3 linked regions of the Drosophila melanogaster genome follow. The protein of the gene in region 1 interacts with the protein of each later gene in a pairwise test. Each region holds a gene or a part of one and is shown on either strand. Other genes may lie near its edges.

Region 1 (4,857 bases):
TTTTCAACTCTGGCACTTTTCATGCTAATCAATTTGTGGCTTCATAATCAAAATCTGTGAAATACATGAAGTTGTCCGCTTGTTTGACGATTTTTTGTTTTGATTTATTACACGCCTTTGTTTTTGAGTTTCTCTCGATCTTTTTATTGTTGCGGAAATGATTTTTTTTTTATTCATCACTCTCGTTTTTTTTGCGTTCGTTTTTTATCTTGTCTAACGAACTTAGCCGGTGTGAATAATTTGTTAGGTGTTTTGTTCAAGCAATTTTCGGTGCTGAGTCTTTGGATTGATCTTGGTATAATTCGCATCGATTTGACCTTAGAATTATTTATGTATGTAGAGTGGGTATAAATCAGTCGAAAATTGAGAATAATTGCTTTGGTATAAGTATATCTTTCAATATCCCCAAGGGTAGGCTATATTAAAATTCTATTCAAATCGAAATGAAACGAAAAGCTTTGAGCTCAGCTTAAAGCTCTTGGATTTTATATTTTTCGAAGAATTTCAAAGCCGGCTTGTGATTCTAAATCACATTCGTCACTACGTGACTAGCCTTTGACAGTGCTTATTAAATTTAATATATTCACATATATTCTATAAACTTACATGTGCATATAGAAAACAAGGCAATTTACGTACAACTCAATTTATTTGTTGCACAAATTTTATTTCATTTACTTTTGACTAAATACCGAGTGAGCTATAGGCTATCCTATTTCCCATTGAAAACTCATGAAAACATTTCCCTTTCCTTTCGAAAAAAGTCACTAGACTTTTCATTAACACAAATTGAAATATTCATGAATCGAGGGGGCGGTTTGAGCCGCTCAAAAAAAAAAAGAAAAAGGCGAACACAATAGAGACAAATTTTGAATGCAATTGCCATGACCAAAACATGGCCCTTCCTCCGAATTTCACATCAATGTCCTCTGTGAAATCCCAGTCTTGTTCACATTTTGGTTTCATGTTCCCCTTTCGGCTGCTTTGGTTTTGTAAGGGCATCCAATGACTTTTATTGTGGGATTGGATGAACTGCATCCATATGCTGGGGTTGATACCAACTGCACTGAGCCACCCCTTTTATACATTTTTTTATTTTTGGCTAGACCTAAAGTCGTTTAATCGTTTTTGGTTTTGTTTTGTTTTGGTTTTTTCTTGATTATAATACTCTATGGGGTGGCTTGAAATATATATTAACCCTCGAGTGCCCGAGCCGCTGGTGCTTCAATCTTCAAAGATTTAACTGACAGTCCGGCATAAAAAATAAAAATATAAACAAAGCCAGCACAAGATGCCCATCCAAATGCCATTGAACCGAGCTCAGATGCAGAAGAAACACAGAGAGAAAACTAATGTATATAATATATGTATTTAAAATATTGCAAAAATCATTAATTTTAAGAAAAACTAATTACAAATTGCTGAAGAAATTAACCATTTACCATGGGTGTCTTTATCAAATCAAAACTTAAATGATCTAAATTTTTGTTTTCTGCATTAGAAAAGAGACAGAGGAACAGCAAATAAAAGAGAGGCAAGACCGTAGAGATGAGCAAGCAGAATGCGCAAATTAGCAAGTGGCAATAAAAATTCTGAGACAATCTCAGCCTGTTTTGGCCCTACAAACCTGGCCACCAAGTCAACCAACTCATCTCAACAGTGGAGGAAAAAAAGAAGACGTAGTGATGCGGAGAAAGGCGGCGCGAAAGAGAGGGGGGTATAGAGATCAGTGAGGGAGAACCAAACCGGCAAGATAATCCACAGTGGAGCAAGTTCCATTTGAAATAAAATAATAAAAGTTTCAATTAATGTTCACTAACTAACTTTCCACGCCCATAAATAAAAAGCGCAATAATAGTAAAATATAAAATAAATCACATATCTAGATTTTTTTGAGACTTTTAAAACTCGTTCCACAGTGCGTTGGCAGACGTAGAGGTCCAATATCACGGAAAGCTCGGTAGCCACAGAGTTCAGTTACCGGCCATCGCAACCATGGAGAAGCTGCTGCTGACCCAGCTTCTGTTTCTGCTCCTGATCCCACTGATCCACTCCCAAAGGAGCTCCCAACTGGACGAACTGCGGCGACTGGGATTGGGAAATGTCGTCAATGTGCCATTCTTCAGCGATGGTGAGGGTTTATTCAAATCATGGAAATATTCAAGTACCTATATGTGCTCCAATATAATAAGCGTATTTATGCCAGAGAGTTCCATGCTTTTAGTACTGGAAAATTTGTAATCGATTTAACACATATATTTTAAAATCTCCTTGCAGTTCCCCAAAGAAACTATGACTTCATAATAGTTGGAGGCGGAGCTGCTGGCTGTACATTGGCCGCTCGTCTCTCGGAGAATCCCAATTGGAGTGTGTTCCTTATCGAAGCCGGAGGAGTGGAGAACATAGTGCATCAGGTGCCATTACTGGCGGCCCATTTGCAGTCGACTGCCTCCAATTGGGGCTACAACTCGACGCCACAACGCCATGCCTGTCGTGGAATGCCCGATAACAAGTGTGCCCTGCCGAGGGGCAAAGTTCTGGGTGGCACTAGCTCGATCAATTACATGATCTACAATCGGGGCAATCGTAGGGATTTTGATGCCTGGGCGGCAGCTGGAAATCCCGGCTGGAGTTACGACGAGGTGTTGCCCTACTTTCTGCGAAGTGAGCATGCACAGCTTCAGGGATTGGAGCACTCGCCATATCACAATCACAGTGGTCCCTTGAGTGTGGAGGATGTGCGACACCGGACGCGACTTGCACACGCCTACATTAGAGCTGCCCAGGAGGCGGGTCATCCGAGAACGGACTACAATGGTGAATCCCAGCTGGGCGTTTCCTATGTGCAGGCCACCACACTGAAGGGCAGGAGGCACAGTGCCTTTCGTGCCTATATTGAGCCCATAAGATCTAGGCGTCATAATCTGCACATTCTAACACTGGCTAGAGTCACCCGAGTTCTGATAGATGCAGCCACCAAGTCCGCCTATGGAGTGGAGTTGACCCATCAGGGCAGAAGCTTTAAGGTGAAAGCCCGCAAGGAAATCATTCTATCGGCGGGTGCCTTCAACTCTCCACAGTTGCTGATGCTGTCGGGGATTGGGCCAGAAGATAACCTCAAGGCCATTGGAATACCCCTGATCAAGGCACTGCCAGTGGGTAAGAGAATGTTCGATCACATGTGCCACTTTGGACCCACTTTTGTGACCAACACAACGGGCCAGACTCTATTTGCCGCTCAATTGGGCGCACCGGTGGCCAAGGAGTTTCTACTGGGCCGGGCAGACACCTTTCTGTCCAGTATCGGTGGCGTAGAGACGCTCACCTTCATCAAGGTGCCGTCGGGCAAGAGTCCGGCCACCCAACCCGATGTGGAACTCATCCAAGTGGCCGGCAGCCTGGCTAGCGATGATGGCACTGCCCTGGCCAAAGGAGCCAACTTTAAGCCCGAGATCTACGAGAAAATGTACAAGAATCTGACGTTGAGGCAGCAGGATCACTTTAGCTTCCTCATCATGCACTTCAAGCCCGCCTCCGTGGGTCGCCTCTGGCTGCACAATCGCAATCCACTCGAGTGGCCACGCATCGATCCCAAGTACTTTTCGGCTCCGTCGGATGTGGAGAACTTGCTGGAGGGCATTAAGGAGGCACTCAGAATCTCCAAGATGCCGGCCATGCAGGCGATTGGAACCAGATTGTTGGACAAGCCGGTGCCAGGTTGTGAGAACTACGAATTCGCCTCGGATGATTATTGGCGGTGCTCCATACGCACGCTATCCTACACACTGCACCACCAGGTGGCCACCTGTCGCATGGGCGCCGAAAGTGATCCCACCACCGTGGTCAATCATCAGCTAAAGGTGCATGGAGTGAGGAAACTTCGGGTGGTGGACACCAGTATCATACCGTTTCCACCCACCGCTCACACAAATGCAGCGGCATTTATGATTGGGGAAAAGGCGGCTGATATGATACGATCCGAATGGAGTTGATTAACTCCAGATGAAGATCACCAAATCAGCGATTTATGTAAAGGGGTTAATAAAATGCGAGAGGAAAGTTTGAAAGAAAGCAAACGGGTAAAATCGTCACACGTTAAAAGCATTCGACAATTCTTTAATAATTTAAAAGATTGTGTTCCATACATAATTTTAAATCAGTAAGAAAAAAAAAATCACATTTTCATTGGATTTTAAAGGGTATCATATATCATTATTATTTTCAACATTTTGAAAATCTTTAATTCAAATTCATAAAATTAATAACATTTTTTTTTTTATAATAAATGCCATCGAAAATCTTTATAATTGACTTTTAACTCAATTGCCACCCGTTTTCGTTGAGTGTAGCGCCAAACGGGGTCTTCAGAACGGTTCGGGTCAATCCAATTTGGACCACGTCATGACCTAGCTTAATAAGTTCCCACCGATCCGTTCCGGTCTCGAACTGAACCGAATCCGAATCGGGCCAAACGAGGCATCCCAAAAACGGGTTTACGCACTCCAAGTTCAATGGCTCGTCAGTCTGGCCGACAAAAAAATACCAATAGAGCGCCGGGATTGGGTATGCCTCATCGATGATGTATGTACATATGTATGTATATACGATATTGTTGTTATTTTACATATTAACTTGAAGTGCATTTAGGGGCCCAACGCTGGGAGAACACGCGCCAAAGTTAAATGAACCCGCAAATGGTAGACGGCACTTAAAAAGTGAGAATCTTGTCATTCTCCATTCGCATTTGGTCAAACCAGGAAATGTGGCTATCATTTTCTGGATACCCTATAGTTTTAAGTTTTTTTTAATTTTCTTACAAAACTTGCAGCAATATATTTTACTGCCCAGGATATGGTT
Region 2 (4,702 bases), on another chromosome or scaffold:
ATCGGCGCGGACTTCAACTGCACTTCCATTTCTTTGATTTTCTTCGAAGCTATAGCCAATTTTATATATCTCAGCCATTTGGGCCAATCTTGATTGAGGCGTCTGAGCATGGGAAACGCATTTAGAGGATTGGACACATACTCTTCCTTCTCCTCCAGCGTTGTTAAAGTTACTCGTTTCAGCGAGTCTTGATATCTGAAAATAATATACAATAAAATGTGTCTCATATAATTTATTATATAGTATAATTCATAGCACATTTCAAAAGATTTTTTTTGAATAAAAAATAATTTACCCTACTTACAATTTAATCAGATCTAACTTGGACTGCATTTCCTGAACGTATATATCTAAGTTCGTTTTTAGAGATTCTTCCATTTCCAAAAGTTTCATCATGCTCATCACAGATGTGCTGTATATCATTTTCTCCTCTGACGTTTCATTTCTTTCCTTGCAAAAGTTCTGCGGAACCCAAATGAATACAAGACATATCTGAAGCACGAACCACTTCATCTTGACTTGGGTAGACTAATGCACTGAATTTCTGTTCTATTTATTAGACTAATCAACAATTTCATGGTATATTGGTAATGGCTGATACATTTTTGGTTCCGCCACAAAAAATTCGTTTGTTTAAGATTTGTTTTGGTATCTTTTAACTATGAAACCAAGTAACTATCTTATAATATTGCTCGCATGAAATCTAAAAAAAAACATTTTTTAACTAGAGTTGTATTTACTACGATTTGCATGGGAAGCTAAACATTTGCGGAAACATAGGAACCCACTTTGTGAGCGCTGTAAAAGAAAACTTCCTATATGTAGTACAATCGTACGTATATATGAATAAGCTAACCTACTCCATCTGTCGCCATTGAGAACAGGACACACCGAGTGTAGGCTTCTTATGTCAGGTTTTCCGTCATCATGCAAATTGAACCAGTACAACATGCTGCCTTTTTGTGGGAAGACCGTAACATTAATTTCCGGAAAAACAGTGGCACCTCCTTGTGGAACTTCACTAGCCTGTAAATTGGAATTTTTATATATATTTGAAGGGAAAGCAATCATCTTTACTCACATAAAAAAGAATGCTTGCCAACCTATCTCCCAACGTCGTAATATTTGGAGTTTCAAAACCATCGGACGAGTAGTCAAAGTGCGGTTGGAAATAGGTGCCCAATCCATAGTTCGCGATCTGTAGTTTTTCATCTTTTAAGAAGTTGAATCCTGTCATATCAATTATCCGCTGATTGATGCGCTCCCGAACCAATGAAGTATTTGACCACCAATCATATCGGACAACTGTATCTCTGATTTCTGTGCCATTTCTCTGGCTGGCGTAGCCATTAACCATATTCATCGATTGTCCTTTAAGTTCACGAATCTCCGAATCGTACAGAACTTCGTGATACATTGCCATAAATGGATCCAAACTAATTTCCTCCAATTTTAGAGGAGCCAATCGCAGAAACGTATTCGCAGTGCTTTTGTATCGACACACAAGATTCGTCTTTTGGCGATACAGTCCTCGACAACCAAGTTCACAGTTGGAAGGACTTCTTTTTACCTGATACAGATCTTTCTCTACTTCAACGTCGTTCTGCGGTTCGTTCAGGTCAGACATAATATTATCCAGCTCCTCTTGACTGGCCTGTACCATTATAAAGGCTTCTTCAATGGACTTCGAAGGCTCAGATGTTGTAGAGCCTACAATTAGTTGATATAAGCAAAAGGAGAAAACAATAAAGCCTAGTCTTACCGTATTTGAAGAGGGATTTAATGTATTGGCGATGAAGGTGTTCAGATGGGTCGCCCAAAATCTGAATAAATAATTGTTCGGGATTTTCCAATTCGCGTTTGCAAGCAATTCGATACCATTTGGCTGCTGTCTGATAGTCGCTTTGCTGGTACATCGAATTTCCCATGGCTATGAGGTCGCGATATGTAAGTTGAACGCTGCAGATTCGATTTCGCTAATAATTCTCCAATTTTAATTACTATTCTATATACTTGTACTGAACTCCTTGCAAAACACCTTGTGCCAGATCGTCGATTTTCAAGTCATATATTTTTTCTATGCGTTGAATTCCATGCATGGCCGACAACATGTCCACATCGTTCGGAACCATTTTCACAAGGTCAACCAGAATACTCTGATTTCCTGTATATATAAAAATGTATATTATATAGTATAGTAGAGTATATTAGTATATATTACTACAAAGTATTAATAGAGCTCTATTTCAATTTGATGTTACTAGTTGCTAGTTACTACAAACTAGTTTCTACTTGCTAGTTACTACTTATTAGTTACTACGTACTAGCTACGACTAATACTAGTTTCTAGTTACAACATACCTTCTCCAATGGCTTCTTTAAAGTATTCGTGCCATTTTGGTAAATCCTCGTGCGTGCGTCTTAGCAGTGAAAATGCATTTATGGGATTTGAAACGTATTGCACTTTTTCATTGAGGCTTCGATGTAATTCATAACCCACTGACGACAAGTACCTAAAATTTTTCTTTTACTTGTGATAAAAACAAATTTTAGGTTGTGTTACATTCGAAGTGCTTCGAATTTTTCTCCTAGCTGATCAACTTGGTTTAAAAGGTTATCGGTGAATTTTTCTTCCACTTTGAGCAGTTTCAGAAGTCCCACAGTAGATGAGCTGTATCGTTCTTTTTCCTCAATATCCTCGACACATCCTACAAAACTGTTTAGAACTGCAAAACCAAGCAGAACTGGGAGTAAACTATGATACTTTCTCATTATAACTAAAAAGTATTCACATTTCTTTAAACAATTGTAAGTTCTTCTTGACTTAAATGGATTCTCTAAGGTTATAGTTGGTTGAATTGATTAGTTACGTTTTTTGTTTATTAGCTACCGTTATCTATCGGGTTATTTTATTTTTTTATTGCAAAGTTATTTTATTTTACAAATATTAAGTGCTATTTAAAGTTTTATCTAAAATTATTTAAAACTTTTGGTTACTCTTTGCTTTCTTGTACTGCATAGGTCGTCCATTGTATGCACCTTTTTGTGTGATAACTAAAAAGAAATCTAAATCAATCAAATTTATTTCATTAGATTTCCATTTTTTCATGTACCCCTTTTATTTCCTTGAAGAACTGGGCATTCCAAAGGCTCACTGCGAGGATCAAGTGTGTTATGCCAAAAGAGACAGCTGCCCTTTTGAGGAAAGACGGATATTTTCAACTTTGGAAAAACCATAGCACCACCGAGTTCCACATTGTTAAGCTGGTTAGAAGTAAATATTTTTTGGATAAATAGTTAGTGCAGATTCTATCAATAGGATAGTTTCAATTATAAAATCAAAAGAGAATCTTATATTGCAAAACTAAATGTAACCAATTAAAATTGCACATTGAGTACACTGTACTTACAAAAAATAGTAATGTTCCTTTTAAATATTCCTTCTTATGTTTGTGCGTTCGAGGACCGTTTTTGGATACTATTTGTTGATCTGAATGTTCAAAACTAAGTCGTGTCAATTCGTTTATGCGTTGAAAGATGCGTTTTTCAATAGGATTGACTTCCACCGCGTCAGTATCATTCAAGTGGTTTTTCAACTTATCGATCTCGTCGTCATTAAGAACATCGTGATATATGACAATGTAAGGATCCCAATTTAAAACTTCCTGTTTCAAGGGAGCTAGTTTCAAGAATTCGGTTATGGTGAAATTATAGGTGCAAACATGATTCCTTCGCCTAAGAAACTGGCCACGACATCCAATTTCGTAGTCTGAGGGTTTTGTCTTGTTAACATTCATTTCGTAAACAATTTCATCGTCAGTTTGACTTAGCAACTCATTTAAGAGAGATTTTATATCTGCTAGGCTGGCCTTATTCAGAGCTTCGTAGGATATTTTCTTAGCTTCTGCGATTGTCATCGAAGGATTTGACTTGATCATGCCTATATGGTTGTAAGGGAAAGATTAGATAGGCCTTCTTGACTCATCCTCCTTACCGAATATGAGCATTGATTTGGCGTACAAAGTATACAAATTAACCTTGGGATCTCCAAGAATGCTGTTGATAATCTCGGCATTTCCTTCGGGCTCATGTTTGATGGCCACGCGAAACCACATAGAAGCCCGTTGGTAGTCCTCCCTTTTAAATTTGTGCTCTCCCAAAGCAACACAATCCCGAATAGAAGGCCGAAAGCTAAAAAGTAATCATATTGAATGGATAATAACAAAAAAAAAAATGTTTCCTATACTCATATTGCTTGCCCTGAATACGACCTCTTGCCAACTCAATGGCTTCCAAATCGTAAATCTGTTCAATCCGATGCATTTCTCCCAGTGAATATGCCATATCCTTTTTATCCGGTACCTTGGCTATAATTTCCTCCAAGGCAAACAGTTCCTCTAAAAAAAATTGAATTATTATTTGAGTACGGTATTTTGAGCAATATAAAGTGATCAAGCTAATGCTGTTGTCAATACCACTCATTCATATGAAAATTTAATAAATTCTTTAAAATTGGGATAAATACTCTTACCCATTCCCACGATCTGCTGTGAATAGTTGTGCCATTTCGGTAGATCTTGATGTGTCCGTCTCACTAGACTAAATGCATTAATGGGATTACCGACATATTTCTCTCGATCTTCAAAACTTTGTTGGAATTCGTAGTCAACCGAGTCGATATAACTGTGGATAACATGTGGCA
Region 3 (3,151 bases), on another chromosome or scaffold:
CCGCTACGGCGTGCTCCTGATAGCTACGTCACCGTCACCAAGTCAGTGACAGGCAGCATGGACAACACAAAGAACCCACCGCAGGAGAACAAGAACTTCCAGTCGACCTATTACACCAAGTCCTCGACCTGCGGCTATTTCACCTTCTCTTGCAACATTGTCTACGGCGCCAATGGAAGGAGCAAGATCTGCCGTCCCAAGGCGCCCACCAATGGAAAATGCTAGGGGAGCATAATACACATCCCTCTAACCACACCACCACACCCATATTATAGTAGATCAGTTCCAGAGGGGCTCAATTTTAGAACAGCTTAACCAACTGCCATCTACAAACCACCTATTTGTATTTTGATGCAGCTTGCTCTTGAGCACTTAAGTGTTTTTTCGCATACAATTAAACGGTTTCACTGCCAATTCTTGAATATTTTGTACGATTTGCAACTGTAATTAATATTTAATAACAAAACACAATATGAAAAAGAGAATTTTGTTTCGTTATCTTAATTCCGGAACTGCTTGTGCGATGTTGTTTCAGAAAACCCTCTAAACACACATCTTATCGCATGTAAGGAGCTGAGAATTCCAATAGAGATATTGCGGGCAGCACATTACGAAGGGTAAATAATCACACCGAATAAACTTGGTGCAATCCGCTGGGTAGGGTATTAGCTGGTTGAGCTTATTCTCGCATAGTTTCGTAAGATCGGAATTTTCTGGTTCTTTAATCGGTGGAGAATTGGGATAGGAGTTGTTCCAATTCGTTATCGGATCTATGGAGGAACAGCCAACCGGAGTCTGCGAATTGCATTGTAGTAGCTGTGAGTTCCAATAAAATTCCGGAGGACAGTCAAGCAATCGGGTCTCGTAGTACCGATGGCAGTCATTGGGAAACGGCCATCTCTGCACAGTTTGGGCCATGCAAAATCCAGAGAACACGGCACATAGTAAAACAATTAGTGGTAACTTGTTTAGCACTGATAAAAGTGAAAATTTAGTAATGTTATGAAAATATTTAAGTTTGTACTTTTCTCTCTGCCTCGCGAAGATTTCTTAGTCTGATACCGATCCGATGTTTCTGGGTTTTTATATATCATTGCTAAGTAAATACATATTATTGACAAATTGATACTATGACTTTAGAGGAATTTTATTTATTGGCTTTCATATCATAGCTGTCCTTGAAAAGATAAGCTTGTCCGGTCAAGTGGATGGGAAAATAACTCGTAAGATGAGTACTAACTGTTGCTCACCAAATTCAAAAACCTATATTAGTAATTGGTAGTTCGCGAAATTTGAAAATGTGTTAATCTTTCTGATTAATAAGAGGATCAGTTGGATAAAACCAGATGTCTGTTGAATTTTCATTATTAGGGAATGTATAGAATAGTAATTTAGAAGATCAGACCTGGGCAGTAAGAATTCGATATGTACACATAGCATATCTAGGGGAAATTTTTTTTTAAGATTTGACTTTCATTGTTTACGCAAAATGATGTTCGATAAATAAGTGTTAAGCACTTGAACTTGATAAAGATATCCAGATTATTGCTGGTATAAAAGGCCGAGTTTTTCCAAGTTGTAGCATCCACTTTCTTGGAGCTCTTTCAGCAAACAACATCAAAAGTAACAAGACACATTCAATTTTGAACTCTTAAGGCATTGAAAAGTTTATTTTTTTTTGCAGTGCGGCAAGGATCTGTTGTTATCTACCTAGGTTTGTTGGCTTTCATTGCAATTGTCGATTGCCAGGAAAACAATAATCTCGTGGTAAATGTGCCGATCGGTTAACCAGTATAATGTCTAGGAAAATAATTTTTTACATTTCTAGTCCATAGTAACCGACCACTCTATACAATGCCCACCATTTGACGATCCCAACCATAATGTGATGTTGCCATATCCCAATGACTGTAGCAAGTATTACGTATGCCAAAAAGGACGAGCCTATGAGCAACAGTGTCCTCTGAATTTGTTCTGGAGCCAGATGACCTACCGCTGTGACTACAAGGAGTACTCCAACTGCAATACGTATATTCCAAGTCCCAACCATGATGTTGAGGTCATATTTAGTGCATATCCCGGAGATTGCAGGCGATTCTACGAGACACGTATCCTTCGCTGTGAGCAAAACCTCCAGTGGAGTTCAGTATACCAGAGATGCGTTGTCCCACAGTATGGCGATTGTCAGAACTCTCCTGTGACCGTGCCACCCGTAGTCCCCTTTACCCCACTGCCTACCTATCCACCCGTTCCAACCGTTCCCGCAACCGTGATACCTTATGATCCCATGCCCACCGCTGGTACTCCACCGCCTATAACTCCCATGGAATCTTTACCTCTGCCAATTGACGTCCAATCATTGTGCAATAACAGTCCTCCCAATGCGTACATTCCTTATCCGGGCAGTTGTAAGAAGTTTATACATTGCGGACCAACAGCAACCATTCTTTCATGCGCAGGCTCCTCGAATTGGAATCCTGCCCAGCATGCCTGCACCACTTACAGCAATGGGTGCCAGGCTTCTTTAAATTGAAACCAGAGCTTTACCCAATCAAACAGAAGACATGAAGTTACAACATTTTAATAATTACTTTTACAAAAGCATTCAATAAAAGATATTGTGATTACAATTCTGTAACAAAACTTGCAATCGTTTTTAAGGACTGCCATAAAGAAAACCCTAAATCATCTGATTCGGTTTTCGGTGAAATGTGCAAAGCACTTGGATTGCAGCCAGCCAGGTGAGGATCCGTACAGGTAAGAATGATGGGATTAAATTCTTCTCCCTCCGGGCACGCATAACCCACCGGAATGGGGTCTTCACAAGCAATGTACTTGCTACAGTTCCCAGGATAGGGCACCAGTGATCCCTCTGCCTTATCTGCACAAATTCCATTCGGTGAAGGCTTCTCTGTGGTTGTTGTGGTAGTAGGAATAGTTACGGGTGGGATTGTTGTAGCTGGAATAGAACAGTTTGCAAACCAAGGAGCCATACACCTTTCCAAGGCGGCACTAAATTCCTGACCCTCGCGACAGTCATAAACGATAGGATCGGGTTGAATACATTGTATAAACTTGGAGCAGTCATCCGGATAGGGAACTAGTTTTCCCTCAGGAGCTCCATCACATGGATCTGGTTCTGAGCCCGGAG

The links.
Region 2: the proteins of CG9522 (region 1) and CG32201 interact in a two-hybrid assay, tested with the Drosophila melanogaster proteins (one large-scale study listed by BioGRID).
Region 3: the proteins of CG9522 (region 1) and CG11570 interact in a two-hybrid assay, tested with the Drosophila melanogaster proteins (one large-scale study listed by BioGRID).

Annotation. Positions count from the first base shown.
Region 1 is NC_004354.4:14,845,917-14,850,773, reverse strand, and holds CG9522 (uncharacterized protein), read left to right. Parts: upstream 1-1,965; 5' UTR 1,966-1,995; coding exon 1,996-2,131; intron 2,132-2,277; coding exon 2,278-3,992; 3' UTR 3,993-4,302; downstream 4,303-4,857.
Region 2 is NT_037436.4:18,607,699-18,612,400, reverse strand, and holds CG32201 (uncharacterized protein), read right to left. Parts: upstream 2,782-4,702; 5' UTR 2,773-2,781; coding exon 2,564-2,772; intron 2,514-2,563; coding exon 2,362-2,513; intron 2,165-2,361; coding exon 2,014-2,164; intron 1,960-2,013; coding exon 1,763-1,959; intron 1,711-1,762; coding exon 1,082-1,710; intron 1,027-1,081; coding exon 861-1,026; intron 799-860; coding exon 740-798; 3' UTR 539-739; downstream 1-538. Other genes in the region: CG32199 (uncharacterized protein), read right to left, coding at 1-195, 305-423; CG18231 (uncharacterized protein), read right to left, coding at 2,981-3,054, 3,114-3,264, 3,411-3,940, 3,995-4,191, 4,247-4,397, 4,532-4,683.
Region 3 is NT_037436.4:11,956,196-11,959,346, reverse strand, and holds CG11570 (uncharacterized protein), read left to right. Parts: upstream 1-1,577; 5' UTR 1,578-1,622; coding exon 1,623-1,623; intron 1,624-1,684; coding exon 1,685-1,767; intron 1,768-1,828; coding exon 1,829-2,533; 3' UTR 2,534-2,624; downstream 2,625-3,151. Other genes in the region: prc (pericardin), read left to right, coding at 1-225; CG43294 (uncharacterized protein), read right to left, coding at 544-974, 1,025-1,025; CG7248 (uncharacterized protein), read right to left, coding at 2,625-3,151.